3 linked regions of the Xenopus tropicalis genome follow. The protein of the gene in region 2 interacts with the protein of the main gene of each other region in a biochemical or structural test. Links are inferred from orthologs where the notes say so. Each region holds a gene or a part of one and is shown on either strand. Other genes may lie near its edges.

Region 1 (6,525 bases), on a different chromosome or scaffold from region 2:
GTTTAGGTACTGGCAATTTATATTCGAGGAAGTAAGCGATTTTCTAACATTTTATATATAATTTGAATTCACATTCTTGATTACATAGAAATGAGAATTTAATGAGATATGTTGATGGTATGTATTTGCAATAATAGCCTTTTCATTGAGCTGTCATTGTATTTTGACTTTTTCTTTATTCATAACCAAACAAATCATCTTCTCTAGTACCTCCTTTTATCTAGGAGGCCAACAACTACTTTTTGTTCACAAAACATGTCCCCACCTACAACAGTACACAGAACTAGACCTCTGACCAATCAGATCTTTCCGTACCTCAGGCAATACAATTCCAACAAACATGCACCTGGTTTTCAAAGGGGCTGAGCTTCAATTTGCCATCAGTTTACTCAAACCACATCTGCCTTATGATGCTTTGGAATGGTGGAATCTCGTAACTTCTCATCTATGCACTGTAACAATGTAGAAAATATACCTAGGGGTTTTACATAGGTGCTAGACTTGGTTATGTGGTCCTTGCAAACCTGAAGCACAACAGGTTTTGTTTTTAAACTCTTACAACCAGTGCCACCCTCTATTTAAATAGATATAATGTGTTTGGAGAAATGAACGCAGTCTTGCCTCTCAAATATCTAAAAAGGGTTGATTTGACAACATTGCGTCAACATACTGTATAGGAATTGTATTGTCTGCAGCTTGTCAGCTTCTAGCCAGCCATTACGCATCTTACAACTGAATACTGCTTTAGAGGACTGGTCAGGATGTACACAACTTTTTGCAAAATTATACTGAAAAATAAGGCCCCACATTAAAGGAGACGTATTGGATAAATTGGAAAAATGCTAATTTTGTAGGCAATTATGAATAATATACGGTGCTGGTTTCCCTTTGTGCTAAACATTAATCCTATCTGTAACAATGGCCCCTTTATTGGAGCTCCCTATAGATCCTATCATTTCTCCGTCCAGTGTGAAATGGAGTGGGCGTGTCCTAGCGGTCCCTGCCAGAAGCACAGTAGGAGGGGGAGAGCCAATCACAGCCCTGCACTCACACAAGCAAAGACCAGCTTCAGTTCCCTATCAGGTCAGCCTAGCTGCTGATTGGTTCCTATCCTACAGTGCCGCCGGCTCCCCAGCTCATCCAGAGAATTCAGCCAGCAGGAAGTGGAATAGATGGGCGGGGCTAGTGGGGTTTTTGTGGAATTTCTCAATAAATCAGTCAGAAACACAGCATTTTTAAGCACATTCCTTCTATATCTAGAGGAGTATAATTCACTGGTACATTCATAATTTTTATAGGATATGTCTCCTTTAAGCATATTTTTATTATTTGAAGTAAGATTTTCCAGTGATCTACTTTTACTTAAATTTTTGCAACAGGGTCTTCTATCATTCACATTAAGGTTGTCACCAAGTCATTGTCCAAGTAACTATACCAAGTCATTCTGTAACTTCTGTTCATAACAATTCTACTATGCAGATACCAGGAAACATCAGAATGGTAATAGTTTCACACAGGCCCGCTTGTTTGCCCCTATGCCAGCAATTGGAACTCCCTAGTTTGGCTGGGGTGCAGGGGTGACCAAATTGGGCAAAGATCCTCTCAGCTGGTGACCTTGCCAAAGAAGTGTATCTTAAAAAGTGTATGGCCAACTTAGTGCTTACTGTTACATGTTGCAGTATAAAGGTGGCCATACACAGGCAGATTTTAGCTGCTGATTTAGGTCCTTCAGATCGATTTAGCAGCTTTTCGGCCCATGCATGGGCACCCCTGACAGGCCTACCAGACCAAGATCTGACCTAAAATTGGGCAGATTTTGATCGGGCAGGTTTGATTTTCCGTCGCATTGGGGACAGCATCGGCTCCTTGATGCAGTCCCCGATCTGGCGGCGCCTATGTACGCAGTTGCTGAATTAGTGCAATATCGCCCACCTTTAGGTGAGCATATTGGGAGAAGATCCGCTCAATTGGCAACTGAGCGAATCTACTAGTGTATGGACACCTTTAGGCTGATGTCCTGTGGAGAGATTTAGTAGCCCGCAATAGATCTCTGCCAGTGTCGGACTGGGACCCCAGGGGCCCATCAGAAAAGCTTAGACCCGCTTTCCAAACTATTTTTCCTCCTTTCTTTACCCAACCTCTTTATTTTCCCAGTCTCTTTTATTTACATGCTAGCATCTATTCTTCCCTCTATTTCTCCTCTTTCTTCCCATTCAGAAATAGGGAATGAGCATGAAACAGGCCAAATGGTTAGGAGCAAGAGGGCCCACTTACACCTGGGCCCACTGGGAGTTTTTCTGGTATCCTGGTGGGCCAGTCCGACACTGATCTCTGCTGCCACAGGTAGCAAATATCTCCAAAATGCCTTTCCACCGGCAACAATATGAATTGCTGGTGGAAAGGCCTATAAATCGTTTCGGTTTTCCGAAGTTGTGCAAAGTTGCCTCCGGAGGCATCTTCGGAAAACCAAAGCAATGCGTTGGCCTTTCCACTAGTGATTCGTACTGTTACCAGTGGAAAGGCATTTTGGAGAGACTAATTAGAGATCTATCGCAGGCGACTAAATCTCTCCATGCCACATCAGCCTTAAAAAGGGCAACATACGAGCTTGTTCAAAAAGAGATAATGAATAGGGCTTCTGCTGGATATACTTTTTGCCATGAAAAAAAAAAAAAAAAAAAATCTATGGCTTTGTAATTGAAAATACATGTTTTGTTCTTGTGAGGTAGATACACCAGATTACCAGTGAGGAGATAAGCAGAAGTCAATTATATAAAGAAATTATCTGTGACTGGTAAACTTATTAAGCGCACAAAAACCAAACATGAAATAGTTTTAATTTACCTTCAGTTGTAACTTAATATCAAAAACCATAGTTTTCTGACTTGAATGCTATATACACACACATATATTTACATTGTTTATCTGATTTGCACCCAGGTTGTTATCCCTATAAGTGTGTGCCTCAGCATATATTATATATATATATATATATATATATATATATATATATATATATATATATATATATATATATATATATATATATATATATATATATATATATATATATGTATGAATGAGAGAGAGAGAGAGAGAGAGAGAGAGAGAGAGATAAGATCCGATGTGACCAGCACCCAGGGCGTTTGATTCTCTTAAGGGTGTGCTCCGTTTGCTCTTATATACACACATACACCACTGATCTCTTAATTATAAAAAAAAAAAAAAGAAAAAAAAATTATCCCTTTAACTTATGTTTTAAACTTTTATAGGTCGCTATACTACCCCTTTAAAGTAGTTTCCAAGGTCAATCTCTGCATTTTGAAGCTTATCAACAGCACGGACATTCCCAGCTCCTTTTATCTTATATGGCCAGAAAGCAGCTCTGGGAATCCGCTGTCACTCAGAACTATTGTCACTGCAAAGGTTTGCATCCAAACTAACAAAATCTACACTCTGCTACAGTTCTACTCATACTGCAAAAAAAGTAACAAAAAACACACTTACACATGGTATCTGTTCCGATACAACAGTCTTATACTTCATAGAACAAAACATCTGAATTCTTTTGCCTTCCAGCTAGCTTTATCAGCTTCAGCCATGTTGTAGGGGGAGGCTGGGGGCAGCAGTCCAAAACAAAATTCCCCAACCGCCCGTAAGCCGAAAACACGGATTTATTTCTCTTTGCCAATACAAAACGCAGAGCGAAACTAAACAACGTTTCGTTCTCAGTCCTGAAACGCCCGCTCCCCTGTACTAACCTGCTTTCCCTATACACAGCCGGATAGTGTCTCAAACCAATTGAAATAACTATAACCAATATGTTCTATAGCGGCGTGTAAGTGTAATCATTTTAGCATCAAAATATTCCAGAATTGTTTCAATAACGTCCCATATACCAATAATTATTAACCATTTCTATTACAAAAAAAAAAAAAAAATCAGCGGCCCGGGACACTTGGTCTTCGGCTGGAACCATATTCATTTTTGAAATACTTTAATTACAAATACGCCATAAAGTTTCAACAAAACTATATCTTTTTCGAGGTTCAAACTTCTAAAACAATACTTTTGTAACTCACCTTCGTCGGTGTTCACACAACAACGACTTGGGCGGAGGCTCAGGCTAATGGCAGGAGCCTATTCTTTACTCACGAATTCCACTTTATCCTATTCCGTAAAGTGTAGGAGGAAACAGGATGAGACGAGCAGTTCCTGTCTGAGAGCCCCTCCCAGAGGGTTCATTCCACAGTGGACCCGGGACAGAGAGCCGAAAGTAATTTCGTGTCAATTATCTTTGGTTCGCTATAAGATTGTAATTCGAGGTGAATTTTTCTAAAAGTTGTTAACTATTTCTCAAAGAAACGCAAAAAAGTATGAAAAAAGGGAGGGGCCTGGATGGGCAATCCCAGCATGCCACACCCCGGTATCAGGTAGGGCAGGCATAGAAAGGCGTTGGTCTGTAGTTTCGCCCCCAGAGAATGCTATGTGAGACACTGGAGGAAAAGTCATGAAAACCTGGATTGCGTGCACATTAGATATTCAGGATGTAGGCGCAGTGTAGTAAATGCATCACCAAAGTGTAAAATGACACTAAACGTGATACATAGTTTCAGCTGGAACTAAGTATTGTAGCACCCAGGGCAATATGGCAACTGGTGCGCAGATTCCACCCCTCCCTCTCCATTTAAGGCTACTGTTATACCTGTATAGTTTTAACGCCTGGAAAACATATATTTGAATAAAATATTTGTATTTAATATTTCTAATTGTATGTTATCTGTAAGGAGAATCTTACCTATAATTCTCTCGGGACACCTCTATTTTTTACATGTTTATTTTTTGGTGCAATCCTGTATTTTACGGTCTTTTTCTCTTTCTTATCCTTTATATTTCTTTCTCTTCTTATATCCCTTCTCCTTCCCTGATCTTTTTGTGTCAGCTCAATAGCATCTTACTGCTTTCTTTCCTCCACCACTTTTCTTTATTTTACCTTTTCACCTTTCTCTAAGAGCAATTCTCTCCTATCCTTTTGCCATTTGTTCCCTACTTTATCCTGCTCTTGTTCTTTCCTATCTCCATTTTACAGGTGCCATTTTCCACCTTTTGCTAAGCTTATGTTGTTCTCTTTCTCTATATGTTGTTTTCCTTTCCTGTTTGGTGTCTCCTTTTTCTATGTATCTCAATCCCCCAGCCCACATAGTCTGCAAGTATTAACATAGAAGTAGCACTTAACTCTGATTGCAGACACTATTCAGTGATAGATCAGCAGCTCTTGATTCATAGGCTAAACACAGGGACAATACAGCCATAGCCGGCCCAAGGAGGTTTGATGCCTTAGGCAAGGGTGGTGAGCTGCAACCCCCCACCACAGCCCTTGCCAGTGGGTTAGACTAAATCACGCACTTAGAGCTGCTCCTGATTAAACCTGAACCATCACTCTGGTTCTGCCTCATCTTACCAGCCCAGAAAACAGACATTAATTTGTCCCTCAGCATTCTATTATAGAGTATTACTGCCGGCCTCAACATAGCTGACAGTGTCTGCCCTGCTCCACCAGGTTAAAAATTTTGCTAATCGTTCAAGTGATGAGGAGATCTGAGACTGGTGCTTAAATGACTGTCACTATAAAATTTTTAAAGGGTAAAGGGTGGGAACCTGGTGCAGCAGTGTGAACTGCTACATGATTATCATTGGCACTGACTTACTGTTTGTACTGTATATTACAATGCTGGTTGTTTTTTGCTTGTAGAACTAATTTGGACGAAGTAGGGGAGGGAGATAGGCTATCATTGAAATTTTATAGGAAAAAAATTTGGGAAAAGTGCAACTTCCTTCAATACCAAAAGTGATTGCGCCCTAGATGTGCCTCCCTGCCTATCCCTAGTTACAGCCCTGAATAGAGATAATTCAGTATGAAAATCAATCTCTCCAACTCTTACTGGAAGGGGGTTATTTCCAGTATTATCAGAATAGCGTGGCTACTACAGTGCTACAAGGAACATGTTGCTCTAAATTAAGAGAAATTAAGCTGACCCAAAAAACTCTTCCCCTGCAGTACTCCAGCAACCAAGGCTTGACTGCTTACCACTACTTCTGGCCATATGTAGTAATGTCAATAGTGACTCCTGTGAGACACCATAAACCCAAATACATATATATTTCTATGTAAATACATTTTTTGCACAGTCATACAAGCAGTGGTGTGGCTTAATTTGCCCTACACTGGAAACAGACAGTGGGTGGTAATATGGACAGGCAGTCAGGCACTTACAAGTTACGCCACTGCATACATGATTCCTCAGACTGAGGAAAAAACCACGATAGTCTTATTCACAAGGACCATGCCACCCCTCCCCCAGCCTGGCAGCACCATTCAACCCCTTACTTGCAGTCCTTCTGCTTTCCAGAGAATCTGTGCACCTCTTACCATGTAGCGCAGAGTGGCTTTAAAGCCCAGAATGCATTATTTAGTGGCACAACTTAAGGCCTAGGAGGGCCCCTGCATCATGTTGCTATGCTAGG
Region 2 (6,008 bases):
TTCTCTCTGCCTGAAATAGGTAACAGCATTGAGGTGCTATATTCTGCATTAATCTGGTGTAACTTACTACACACCTTTCAAAACACAATAATTAGTTCTCTAAAATGGATTCATTCATGTGGAAGAGTTTTATAAATGCATCATGTAGTTTTTGGGGTGTAAAACACAGCTTTATAAATATACCCCATAGGAGTAGTCAACACTACATAGAATAGTCATTATAAATGTAAAGTGTAAACAAAGGGGCACAAAAAATGCATTTAACCACTTCTTGGCGGTAATGCCCTTTACCATGTGTTCTATGTAAAGGGAAAATTAAAACCCAACATAAATAATATACCTACAGTTTATGTCATGTCAAAGAGTTCCTGTACAGAAGTCATAAGACACATAACTGCATGTATAATGTTGAAGCCCATAGCACTCCGGTTATGGGCCTGCTCCCACTGGCCTGTGTCATTTGCTAGGTTCAAAACTGGGGTAGGGTTCCATGTTGGTAGCCATGTGCATGGATTTATTTAACATTAAAGGACTGTGCAGGACAGCTAAATATATAATACAGATTTATGGCAAAAAGCAGTGATTCCCAACCAGTGGCTCGTGTTGCTCACCAACCCCTTGGATGTTGCTCTCAGTGCCCCCAAACCTGGTAGTTATTTTGGAATTCCTGACTTGTTGGCAAGTTTTGGTTGAATAAAAACAAGATTTACTACCAAATAAAGCCCCCTGTAAGCTGACAGTCCAATAGCCAATCTTAGCCCTTATTTGGCACCTCCATGAACTTTTATGATGCTTGTGTTGCCTAGCAGCTACCCAATAGCCAATCTTAGCCCTTATTTGGCACCTCCATGATGCTTGTATTGCTCTCCAAGTCTTTTTACATTTGACTGCGGCTCACAAGTAAGAACGTTTGAGGACCCCTGGCATAAAGTGTTGGCGGGGTTTAGGGCAGTGACACTCTCTCAAGGCAACTTCAGCAAATCGAGGCGCCGCGTATGCCATCCCACCGGCGATTTACATTCTAGCTGGTGGGATGGCACTGCGGGGAAATTAGTGGCCCGTGACAAATCTCCCCATGTGTCACTGCCCTTAAGCTACACATGCTTTTGCTGCAGCTCTAGTTGCCCGATAATACAACTGAAGAGCGATGAACAATGAAGGTCTGCCTATACCTCAGAGGGGGTTAAAGTAATTTCCTTTGCTAATCGCTAGTGTAATCTATTCAACCTAAATGATAAATCAAAGTGCCTGCAGTTCAATTTAAAGATGGATTACATGCAAGGGCAGAATCTCAGTCCTAAGAAATTTATGTAGAGACACTTTTTAAATCGATCACCAGCAAGTGAAGGGTCTTTAGTAAACCTTCTGAGTAACCAATACCCCTGCACATTTCATTACTCAGACACTCCTACGCAGTATTTCCTCATATATCTAGAAGCCTTAGAAGAAATAGGGAATTGCATGGCCAAATCAAGTCCCTGGTCTGTACTCCCTGAGGTCATCAATAAATATCCAAGGAACTGATTTATTCACACCTATTCCTTCATATAATTAAAGTCAGTTTTTAATAAACTGTTGAAAAGGCACAATCTACTCAAGGCAATGTATTATATAAATAGCTAAACTATATATTTCTGCCTTACAGTTCAGCATTATAATTCAGTTTGTTTAATGCAAGGTGAAGTTAATATTTAAAGATAATTCATTTCTAAAAGCAAGGGCAAAAATAATTTAAAACTCAAATTTCCACATTATATATCAAGGCTACATGATCCTAACTAAGATACAATCAATCCTTATTGGTGGCAAAACAATCCTATTGTGTTTACTTAGTATTTCAATGATTTTTAGTAAACTTATGGCACAAAGATCCAAATTCTGAATAGACCCCTTATCTGAAAAACCCCTGTTCCTGAGCCTTCTGAATAGCAGACCTCATAAACCAGAAAAGATGGCAAACCTCCATATACCAGGGTGTATCTTTAAAGAAAGCAGGCCCTGCAAATGCTGGGGAGCCCAGGAGGTATAGGGGGCCCATTGGAACACAGACTAATAAGTAGTTTCAATATTGGTTTATGAAATATATCTAAATCTTAAAAGCTTAGGGGGGCCCTAAAATGATTTTACTGTGTGGCACAGTATCTTCTAGTTATACCACTGCTATAAACCTTTATTTTTTTCCTCTTTTGTTTTGGTATAGTGAAAATATTATAATATACAACATATTATAATATTTATTTTTTGTAGGTTCTAGTTTTAGTGCCTCATATTGCAGTCTCAATGACCATCTTTAGGGTGAAGACACACAGAGCTACTAGCAGCAGCAGCTACTTCTCACGGCTACTAAAATAGACAATTCTGATCATTTACTGATAATTGGTCCCTATGTGTGTTTAGTAGCCGTGACAAGTAGCTGCTACTACGTTGATCCATATGTCCTAGCAGCAGCTACTAAACTCCAGAAAATACTCTGCCATAGACAATACTGAGAATTGCCTCTGCTTAAACACACGTAGAGACAATTATCAGTAAATTATCAGGATTGTCTATTTTAGTAGTCACATCAAGTAGCTGCTACTAGTAGCTTCATGTGTTTTCACCCTTAGGGCAAGTGGTACACAGGGAGATTAGTCGCCCCACGACAACGCGACTAATCTCCCCGCAATGCAATCCCACCAGCTAGAATGCAAACTGCCGGTGAGATGGCATACGCGCCACTATAATGTCCCGCAGTCGCCTGAAGTTGTCTTGAGACAACTTGACTTATCTCCCCATGTACCACTGCCCTAAGGGCTCTGGTACACGGGGAAATTAGTCACCCGCGACAAATCTCCCTGTTCGCGGGCTACTAATCTCCCCGAGTTGCCATCACCTGCTATCCCACCGGTGAAAATGTAAGTCGGGGAGATTAGTCGCCCGCGAACAGGGAGTTTTGTCGAAAATCCTGCCTTTCTGATTGCAAAGCTTGCTGTCAAGAGCAGACTGCTAAATATGTCTGTATTTATAATCCTACCTTCACTGGGCTTGTTTTTACTAAGCAAAACACTGATGGGCTTATCATGTCCCTTGTGAGCTGCAGCAGATTTTCTGTGTGGTTCAGGTGAAGGACTGTGGGACTGAAGCCTATCACGAGCACGATTCACTGGCATCTCCCTCTCACTCCTGTAGTCAGGTGCTAGTCTCCTGCCGTTGCCTCGGTCTGGGCTGTAGTCTCCACTGTAGCTGCGTTCAAAGGATTCCTCTCTGTCCACACTCTTTTTGTGATCTCTTTTGTATCTACGCTCCTCACTCTGGTCACGGTCTAGACTTCTACCCCTACTGCGCTCCCGCCTGTATTCTCGCTCATCGTCCAGATCCCTCTCCCGGCTTCGCCCACGAACCCAGTCTTGATCCCTGTCGTAGGAACGACCTCTTTCCTGGTCCTTGCTGTAGCCTCTGTCTGGACTCGATTCTCTACTGTGATGACCGTTTCCACTATGCCAACTCCTCTCGCTGTAGCCACTGTAAGCACTTCTGTGTTCAAAGGGTCCATCATCGTCTACAGCATCAATATCTCTAGGGTCCAGCTCAGGAGAAGGTGACCTTCTTGCAGTCACCTGAACTTTTCGAGGTCTTTTCACAACCTAGTACAGATTGAAGAAATCCGTAAAATATTATTTGGTATTAGGGTCAGAACTGAAATACAGACAAGTGTGGTCTACTGTTTCCAAAACAAAAATCTGCTAAACACGTCCATTTACAATACAGGTCACATATACCAATACAAAAAGTCAAATAGAGACCAGTTTGACTCATTGCTTCACTGTATACAAACACATCATAGTCATAATTGCAGCCAAAATGGTCTATATTTGACTTTGTGTATTGGTCTATGTGACCTGTACTGGCAATGTTGGTTTGTAAATCTATTTGTCAATGGTCATTACTGTTTGCACATATTATCACTGGCCAAATGGATAACTGGCCACCCATCTGATTAGATTGTTTAAACCTGTGTTGGGATCCCAGTGTGTGCCGCAAAATTGGTCAATAGTTTGCCTGTTTGGCTGTTGTGTTAAAATGGACATCTGTTTGTGTGTATTACTCAGGACCCAAAACAAATCCTCACAAGTTGTAGCCATCAAAGCTGACACTTACTATGACGGCTGTTTTTCCACATTTCCGTAGCTGCTGAACTGCAAATGCATGGAACACATTATCCATAAGTGTCCCATTAACCATAACCACACGATCATTTACTCTGAAAAAACATGGAAGAGAGCATTACTCTTAAACCACTGGTAAAATACATAAAGCATTTTCATATTAGAATCGTCAAAATCTTCCAACATGCCTTAAAGGAGAAGGAAAAGTAAAAACTAAGTAAGCTTTATCAGAAAGGTCTATGTAAATACAGCCATAAGCACTCACAGAAATGCTGCACTGAGTTCTCTGTAAAAAGATTAGTCGTGTCTGTTTTCCTCTGCCAGAGATGCAGCTTTCAGCTTTTTCCTCTCTGCTGCTCCCCCCTCCCTCAAGAATGCTAAGAACTCACTCCCCCCCCTTAGGAATGTGGATCTGAGCCAATTAGCAGGAAGCTGACTCATAGTCTAACTAACTGAGCATGTTCACTTGGTCTGGGTGTCTGTGCAGGAGTGAGGCATTATGGGAACTTTCTTTACACAGCTCAGCAGTTTTTCTTCCTGTCTGGCATCTGATCATCTGAACGGGAGAAATATGGGGAGACTTAAGGGCACAATTGAGACAACTGAAGGTATGCCTGCAGCTTGAGATTAACTCTTTATTAGCCTTTCCTTCTCCTTTAATAGAAGGGAAGTTCAGGAACATGACTATCATTGAACATTCCTCTCTCTCTCTCTATCACATCCATGTATCAAAATTATAAAATGTAATAAAAGATTTTTGTTTCCCTAATTATATAATTTTACAACCAATTAGTTCCTTTGAAAACACCAGTAGAGAGAAGATACAATGGAACACTTTGATGTTTGAAAACACTGCTGTTTGTGCACACTACAGTAAAGTTATGTTTTGACCCTAATATCACAAAGAAACTGGCGACTGAGCCCCCTATGGCTCAAAAATCCCTATGTAGAGGCAAAGAATAAAGAGGCCTATGAGGAATTCTGGGACTCTAATGCTAATACTGCCACTCCAAACATATTATGGGACACAAGCAAAGCCCAAGTAAGGCAAGCAGAGGGGGAGCTGGCTAAAGCGGAGAGGGAGCATGCTAGCTAAGGTGCAGGCTTCCTCCACCACAATGGCACACATCCTAACCCCCAACAGGTGCATACGCCACAGAACACCCCATTGTATCAAGGGCTGTATAGTTCAATCGTAAAATATACCAACTCTCTCAATACCTAGATATTATAAAATACCATCATTGCCACGGAGCACTCAAGCACTTCTTGACTATCCATTATCCACTCAGGGAACAGAATTGGGTTTAGCAGAATTACCTTCCAATAAAACCCCAGGCCCTGACAGACTCACCTGTTGGAAACTCTTCAACATGTCTATGACACTGAAGCCCTTTCCTCATCTGACACTGAGCCCTTAAATCTTCCATTTTAAAACGAGGGGAAGATCCAACAGAATGTTTCTTACTGGCTAATTTCATTACTCAATAGCGATGGCAAAATGGGCAAAAATTCTGGCTAACAGACTTAAGAGAGTCTTTATAGATCTCGTTCACCCTGACCAATCCGGCTTCATGCCTGGGAGATTAACTGCTTTCAATATTCGGCATTTATTCACTAACTTACAGTTAGAGCACATAGAGCAAGGTTCCAGGGTCATTGCCTCCTTAGACTCAGCCAATGCCTTTGACTCAGTTGAATGCCCATATCTCTGGGAGGTCCTTCAGAGATTTGACCTTGGTGAGAGATTGATTACCTTGGTCAAACTCCTATATAATGCTACAACAGCACGGGTCAGGGTGAACAGAATTAGTTTCCCATCCTTTCTCCTAACAAGAGGCACAGAGCAGGGGTGTCCCCTCT
Region 3 (6,496 bases), about 53 Mb from region 2:
TTTTCTGAAGTTCCTAGCAGGACTTGGACCCAGGGATTCTGGTGTGCCTGCCGATGTAAGAGCTGACTTGGCTGATGAATAATTAAGAAAGACCTTACCTATCCCTTTGGCAAACTATTAGGCCTAAGATAAAGAACAATGGAATCCAATATGAAGATGAGAGAAACAGGTACACAGATAAATCCAAAAAGAAACACATAACTATGTTACTATCATACTGTTTCTAGACCAGATTTTTTAAACATTCTCCTTAAAGGGTACAGGTTAAATCTTGGATTTAGCAAAAATAGGTTCAAAAGAATTTGCCTCATTTTACAGATTTACAATATTAAAGGTGAAATTAAGCCCCACCCTAAACAACATGGAGACTCATTTTGGGTCTTGACCTATAGGTTTAGAATCCCTGTCCTTGACACGGGACATCATTATAGTATAGTAGGCGGAGCAGTTCTGCCCATGTCTTCCTGCATAATATAGAAATGTGGGGCTACAAATGGGTCTCGTCAGCCTTAGTGGGGGAAGAGAGAAATTCCTTGGAGAGCTGCACAACCCAATGTTTCCAGCTGGATAGCTGTGATGTAAAAATGTATTTATTGTTACAACTCTGGCTTAACTGACCATAAAGCGCACTTTTCTACACACTACAAACAATACATTTGTTTAAACAAGCAGAACCTGTAAAACAAAAATTCAAAAAGGCAAGTTATTTTCCCTAACATTTCAAGGCCTCATGGCGCTTTATTGGCTGAGAGTCAGCAGTTACAATTGTGGCATTAGCACATAAGAATCCTGTATCCTAGCACAGGAACAACCCTGCTGTGAAACATGGGGCCATGACTGAAGAACACTTTCTGGGAGGAAAGGGAAGAGGCCCCCGGAGAGATTCTGTACTTTAATTGTACTTCAATGCTTTTCTGTAAAGAGGTCAGAAAACCATCCTGTGCAGTATAACCCCTCTTTATGATAACTGGAATGAAATGCTCATTAACTCACCAATTATTTGAGCATCAAAATATACAAGAGGCTTGTGGCTTTGTAAGGTCACTGAATTCCATATTAACCTGGGATAGTCCTTATATATTACACTAAGGTGCACTTTACTGCACACAGGAATGGTTTTGTTGAAACATTTACTTGATAAGTCTACACTTGTAAATATTATGGATGCACTAATGGCAAGGTTAGCCAAGTAGCAAAACTGAGCTGGGCGGCTGCGAGTAACCAGGTATTTATTTATACATAATGGATGCAAATAAAATCTATATATAAGTTACTTTGGTACATAATTAGGGAACAAATGCAAGAAAGTCTGGTTTATATTGTTATCACACATGTACCGACTATTTATATATTCTGTCTGTTGCTGGAAGAGCAAGACATTTAAGTACATAGAAAGTACCAGGGACATTTCATAATAAGTAAGTGTTACCATAAACAGAACCCAAACCAGAGGAGAGGCCGCCCTTGCCAGAGTAACAGGGTTGCAGATACATGCAAACATCAACAGATTAGTCATTCTGCTTTTGTGAATAATTGTACACCCCAAATCGTACCCTATACAGCCATTAGGATACAAGCACCATCAATGCATGTCTATAGTGGGGCAGTTTCAAGCACTTAGTCTGTTTGAAGGTGTGACAGTCAAAGTGCCATTACCCTTAAGAAGCCCAGCCCAGTAATCCATATCTCTATAATATCAAAGTGCACAATACAGGTATGCGATCCGTTATCTTGAAAGCTACAATTCAGACTTTTAATAATGGATTTCCTTTTTCTTTGTAATAATAAAACAGTACCTTGTGCTTGATCCCAACTAAGATATAACAAATTCTTTATTGGAGATATAAAAATCATATTTGGTTTAATTTATCCATAAATTATTTTTTTAGTAGGCTTAAGGTATGAAGATCCAAATTTTGGAAAGACCCCTTTATCCGAAAAACCTCAGGTCCCAAGAATTTTGGATAAGGTCCCGTACCTGTACTGGGCAGTTAAATGGCTACAAATGCAATATTTTATACACTGTACTTCACCAGCCGAATTGTCACAGGAGCTCCTTATTTTGTGTCTGTGACATGGCTAGTGAGCTCTGAGCTGCTGCAGAGAAGCTAATCTTAGGGCCGTGACAGACGGGGAGATTAGTCGCTCGTGACGGCGACTAATCTCCCCATTATGCCATCCCACCGGTGAGAATGTAAATCGCCAGTGGGATCGCATACATGGGGCCGAAATCACTGAAGTTTCCTCTCAAGGCAACTTCGGCGATGGCAGCGCCGCGTATACCATCCCACTGGCGATTAACATTCTCACCGGTGGGATGGCATATCGGGGAGATTAGTCGCCCGCTACAAGGGAGATTTTTTGTGGGCGACTAATCTCCCCGTCTGTCACGACCCTTAAGGGTTGTTGCAAATTATCAAGCAGAAAATTTGATTTGTCTGTCATATAAGCCAATGCTACAGGGCTGATTATTACATTCTGATGCTAATTACACTGAGGGCTGTGGTTGCCTTGGGCTAGGCACCACACCATATTACACCCCCTAGGTTACAGAAGTGATATCACTTCCGCCGCAATCCTCGCGGGACCCCCTCAGCCCCCAGCTCCGCTGCCAGATTTACCCAGAAAACATCTGGTGGTGGCTGGGGAGAATTCCTCCGGAGGCTGCCACCCTAGGCACAGGCCCGTGGCTTTTCTAATATAGACATGGCCCTGCTGGTATAGAAGCCCAAAACATAATGTACATTTCTACCCTACTTCTTTAGTTAGGTTTTAGTACTCCTTTAAGCTGGCCATAAACGCACCGATAATATCGTACGAAACCCTGTTTCGATATTCGGTGCGTGTATGGCAAGTCGGCGAGTCAATCGGCCAGGTCAAAAGATTTTGATCGGGCGCCATAGAAGGCGACTGATGGTCGCACGAAAGATCGGAAATCGACACGTGTGTGGCCACCTTTAAGGACACTTGCAGTTACCTGTAACAGAAATCAGACATCCCTCACAACACACCATATTGCTTTTTTCCAAAACCTACCCCATCGCAAGTGACTGGGGACTGCATTACTGAAATATTACATTACAAAGAGCACTTTCCAAATAATGCAATAGACAGTAAAAAAAATAAATTTGATACAAGCACCAGATAAGCAAGGCATTCTGTTACAAACTGCCCAATAAAATAACAGTTCCTCCCTGAAGAGTTGTTTTGATTTAACAGCAGTTTCTTGATGTCTTGCCAAGTTATTCAGAGCACCCAAAATGCACGGTCTGAGCAGTAAACTTTGGGAAATGGGCGTAAGTAGTAATATAACAGAAAATGGTGTAAAATGCACATAACAACCAGTACCAGTCTTTGCCATATATAGTTGAATTTTAATAACAAAATAAATAAATGTGCTAATTCTGCCACAGAGCCAAACTGAACCAAGAGTTTTAGCCCTCACAGATCTCAGCGACTTTCCAACTCCAACGGAATTGGGTAAGAAACACCAGGGACCACATATGAAACATTGGGGCATCAAAAGCTATTGTAAGAAGTGAATTTGTTAACTGACCTTGTTTTTCTACTAAATATTTATATTTAGACAGTGGGAAGTAATTAGCGTACCCTGTGAAAACCTATAGGTTTTGTGAATAATGCCCTGGCAGGAATCAACCCCGGGTTCACTTCCAATCAGGGCACCATACACAAGTGTTCTCCCAGGGTTATAATTATATTTATACACAGTGCGCAAGAGAAGCAATTGTTTGCACAGAAGCCAGTTTTAGGGTAAGTGGGGCATACATTTAAAGATCCGCTTGTTTGGCCAGGTAACCAGATAAGTGAATGTTTCCACAATAAACCAACCTTGAGGTGGGCGATATCGGGCAGTTCCAACGAATGTATGCAGGCTATCAAGTGGAAGGAATTAGCCTTGGAACAAGCCATTGTGGTCCTTGGCCCCATTTTTAAACTTGCCCAACTGACTGCCCGTGTATGGCCACCTTTAGTACATACAGGGCAATACCCCCCACAGCCTTCTGTTATTTATAATGAGTATCTAACATTTACTCCTCTCCCTAGGGCAGAACTCCAGTACACACACAGCAAAATGGAGTCACTTTACTAGCCCTGTTATCTAAACAACCAACACTCTCTGTGTAACAGGAAATAGAGCTAGGGATAATGTCCCTAAAGATAATATAACCAGCAAATTAAATACATAATTTATGATTCTCACCTGTATAAACACCTGCTATTCCCCAGCGGGAGCCCCCTCGGATCCTCTGACCCAACAGAAAGTTCAGAAACAAATCACTTCTCCGCGCCCAGAACGGAGCCAACGTTCCCCAAAGCCCGCAACCTGCTGCTCTGCCTCGGTCTCCCCCTACACCTCTCCGTCCCTCTCAGCCCCGCCTTGGCTCCTCCCCCTCTCCCCTGAGGGTCAGGGCGTGGCGGGAAGGCTGCACCTGAAACTCAGTAGGGAGAATAAACTGGTTTGTGTGACTCCATACGAGCAGGTTTCGGCCGGTGCTTTGTGAGCGCTGTTGTTTCTGTGTGCAGCTTACATGTCCCTGTCAGGGGAAAGAACTTGCCTTGTTTCTCTCATAATAATAATAATCATTTCCGAATGGCTGAGCCTGCTGTGTGTATAGTGAGGGCGGGTATCACAATGCGTGTGGGGTCAGGGGAGAGTTTATATTACCTGTGAGCTTTGATCCGAGCAAATAACGATCTCAGTTTGTGCTTTACTTACGCAATTGGGGGAAATTTTAATGAAAACTAAACTTTCAGAATAAATGCTTAATCAACCAATGGTTAATATAAGTGATCTAGATACTTTTTTCGTGTAAGTTTATAGTGTTTGTTTTACAAGTAAAGTAACTAGTGGGGCCAAATTGCACCAGAACTCCCCCTTTTAGTGCCGCCATCAGTGCCCGATAGGATTACACTGTCCTGCCCAGTAAAAATGGTTCCTGGTATCAATGTCAGTAAAGAGGGAAAAAAAATATGGGCCAGTATTTGTTTTTTGTTTGTTTAGAAAAGAAGGCAATCCTAGTGTCAGATGCCAAATAGTAACTGCCCCACGCCCCAGCGTACAACTGAATGCTTTTAGTCACTGCTGAAAAAGATGTATCACGTTTTCTTCTTAAATTAATTTCATTTTCTTCTATTTCATATTTTAATCTTTTTTTCTCCTTAATATATATATATATTTTAATTTTTCTTCATGTTACAATAAACTGTATTTCTCTCCTCCTTCACTCTTCCACTTCTTGATAAAGGGCCAAAATGTTGCCTGGTCTTCAGCCTTAATTCTCTCCTCATGTTCACCCCCTACAGCTTTTTTTATTCTCCATATCAGCAATTTTTTCTTTAACCCAAAACATTTGCAATTTTCTTTTTCTCATGTGCAATTTTGACACCTTACTCCAGGGGTGCCATTCTTTTCGCTTTTGCCCTGCATTGAAGCAAGAGAGCCCTGTGATATTTTGAGTAACTGGGAGCGCCGCACAGTACCACAGACAGTTAATGGATGATTAACAGAAAAATAATGGACTCCTGCTCTGTATTTGAATAGTGTAAGACTGGTCTGAGCTGGCAATCTGTAGGTCCTGGCAATTGCAGAGGGGCTGCTATGTGATGCCATAGACAGAATATATTTTGAATCACAGTCCAGACCTGGTGTCAGTGGGCATTTAAAGTTAATATTTCTTTGCTATAAATAAGACCAGCAAGCTCTTGTAGTGGATGTAGTTCAGTACTGTTCAAAATTGAGCTTTAGGGTGAAGACTCAGAGCTACTAGTAGCAGCTACTTTTCCTGACTGCTAAAAAACACAATGCTAATCATTTACTGATAATTGTCTCTACGTGTTTTTTAGTAGAGGCAAATCTCAGTATTGTCTATGGCAAGGAATTTTCTGGAGTTTAGTAGCCTTGAAAAAGTAGCTGCTACTAGTAGCCCAGTGTGTCTTCACCCTTAGACAGAAGCTGGGCGGAAGGCTGTAGTGAGCTAACAAGCTTGCACCCCCAGTGCTCCAGTACCCAAGGAATAAGCCTAATTTCTGGCGCTGGCCACCCTGAGCTACTTAGTGCCGCAGCGCTTGTGATAACTTCCCAGCAGGCCTCATAGGGGATGGGCAATGGTGCAGTCACAGCCCCTGCATCATTCAGTGATATTTTGTCTCCCCATGAAAAATTACATGCCCCCCATGGTTCTCATCTGCATTACTATACTTTAGTATGATTCTATACAGCCTTCCTAATTATTGTTTGTGTTCTACACATTTGTTGTGTATGCTGGAATCATACGCCATTTTGTATCATATATTTGATGGAAACTAAGCTGCATTAGTCCTTATCGACAAAACAATTCTATTGGTTTTATTTCATTTTGTTTTATCAGACTTAAGTTATGATGATCAAAATTACAGAAAAATCCCATATCCAAAAATGAACAGGCTGTAAGCGTTCTGGATCCCATACCTATATAACTGTCAGGGTATTGTTTTG

What was found. The genes of interacting proteins can lie anywhere in the genome.
Region 1: the proteins of tjp2 (region 2) and ctnna1 form a complex in vitro, tested with the Homo sapiens proteins (2 studies listed by BioGRID and IntAct, with this or other methods). The link is inferred for Xenopus tropicalis from reciprocal best matches to the Homo sapiens genes TJP2 and CTNNA1.
Region 3: the proteins of tjp2 (region 2) and ocln form a complex in vitro, tested with the Homo sapiens proteins (3 studies listed by BioGRID). The link is inferred for Xenopus tropicalis from reciprocal best matches to the Homo sapiens genes TJP2 and OCLN.

Annotation. Positions count from the first base shown.
Region 1 is NC_030679.2:19,989,546-19,996,070, reverse strand, and holds the start of ctnna1 (catenin alpha-1), read right to left. Parts: upstream 4,308-6,525; 5' UTR 4,083-4,307; intron 1-4,082. UniProt on the Homo sapiens protein: Associates with the cytoplasmic domain of a variety of cadherins. The association of catenins to cadherins produces a complex which is linked to the actin filament network, and which seems to be of primary importance for cadherins cell-adhesion properties.
Region 2 is NC_030677.2:129,426,668-129,432,675, reverse strand, and holds part of tjp2 (tight junction protein ZO-2), read right to left. Parts: intron 4,241-6,008; coding exon 4,138-4,240; intron 3,624-4,137; coding exon 3,014-3,623; intron 1-3,013. UniProt on the Homo sapiens protein: Plays a role in tight junctions and adherens junctions. Acts as a positive regulator of RANKL-induced osteoclast differentiation, potentially via mediating downstream transcriptional activity.
Region 3 is NC_030677.2:182,415,373-182,421,868, reverse strand, and holds the start of ocln (occludin), read right to left. Parts: upstream 4,308-6,496; 5' UTR 4,223-4,307; intron 1-4,222. UniProt on the Homo sapiens protein: May play a role in the formation and regulation of the tight junction (TJ) paracellular permeability barrier.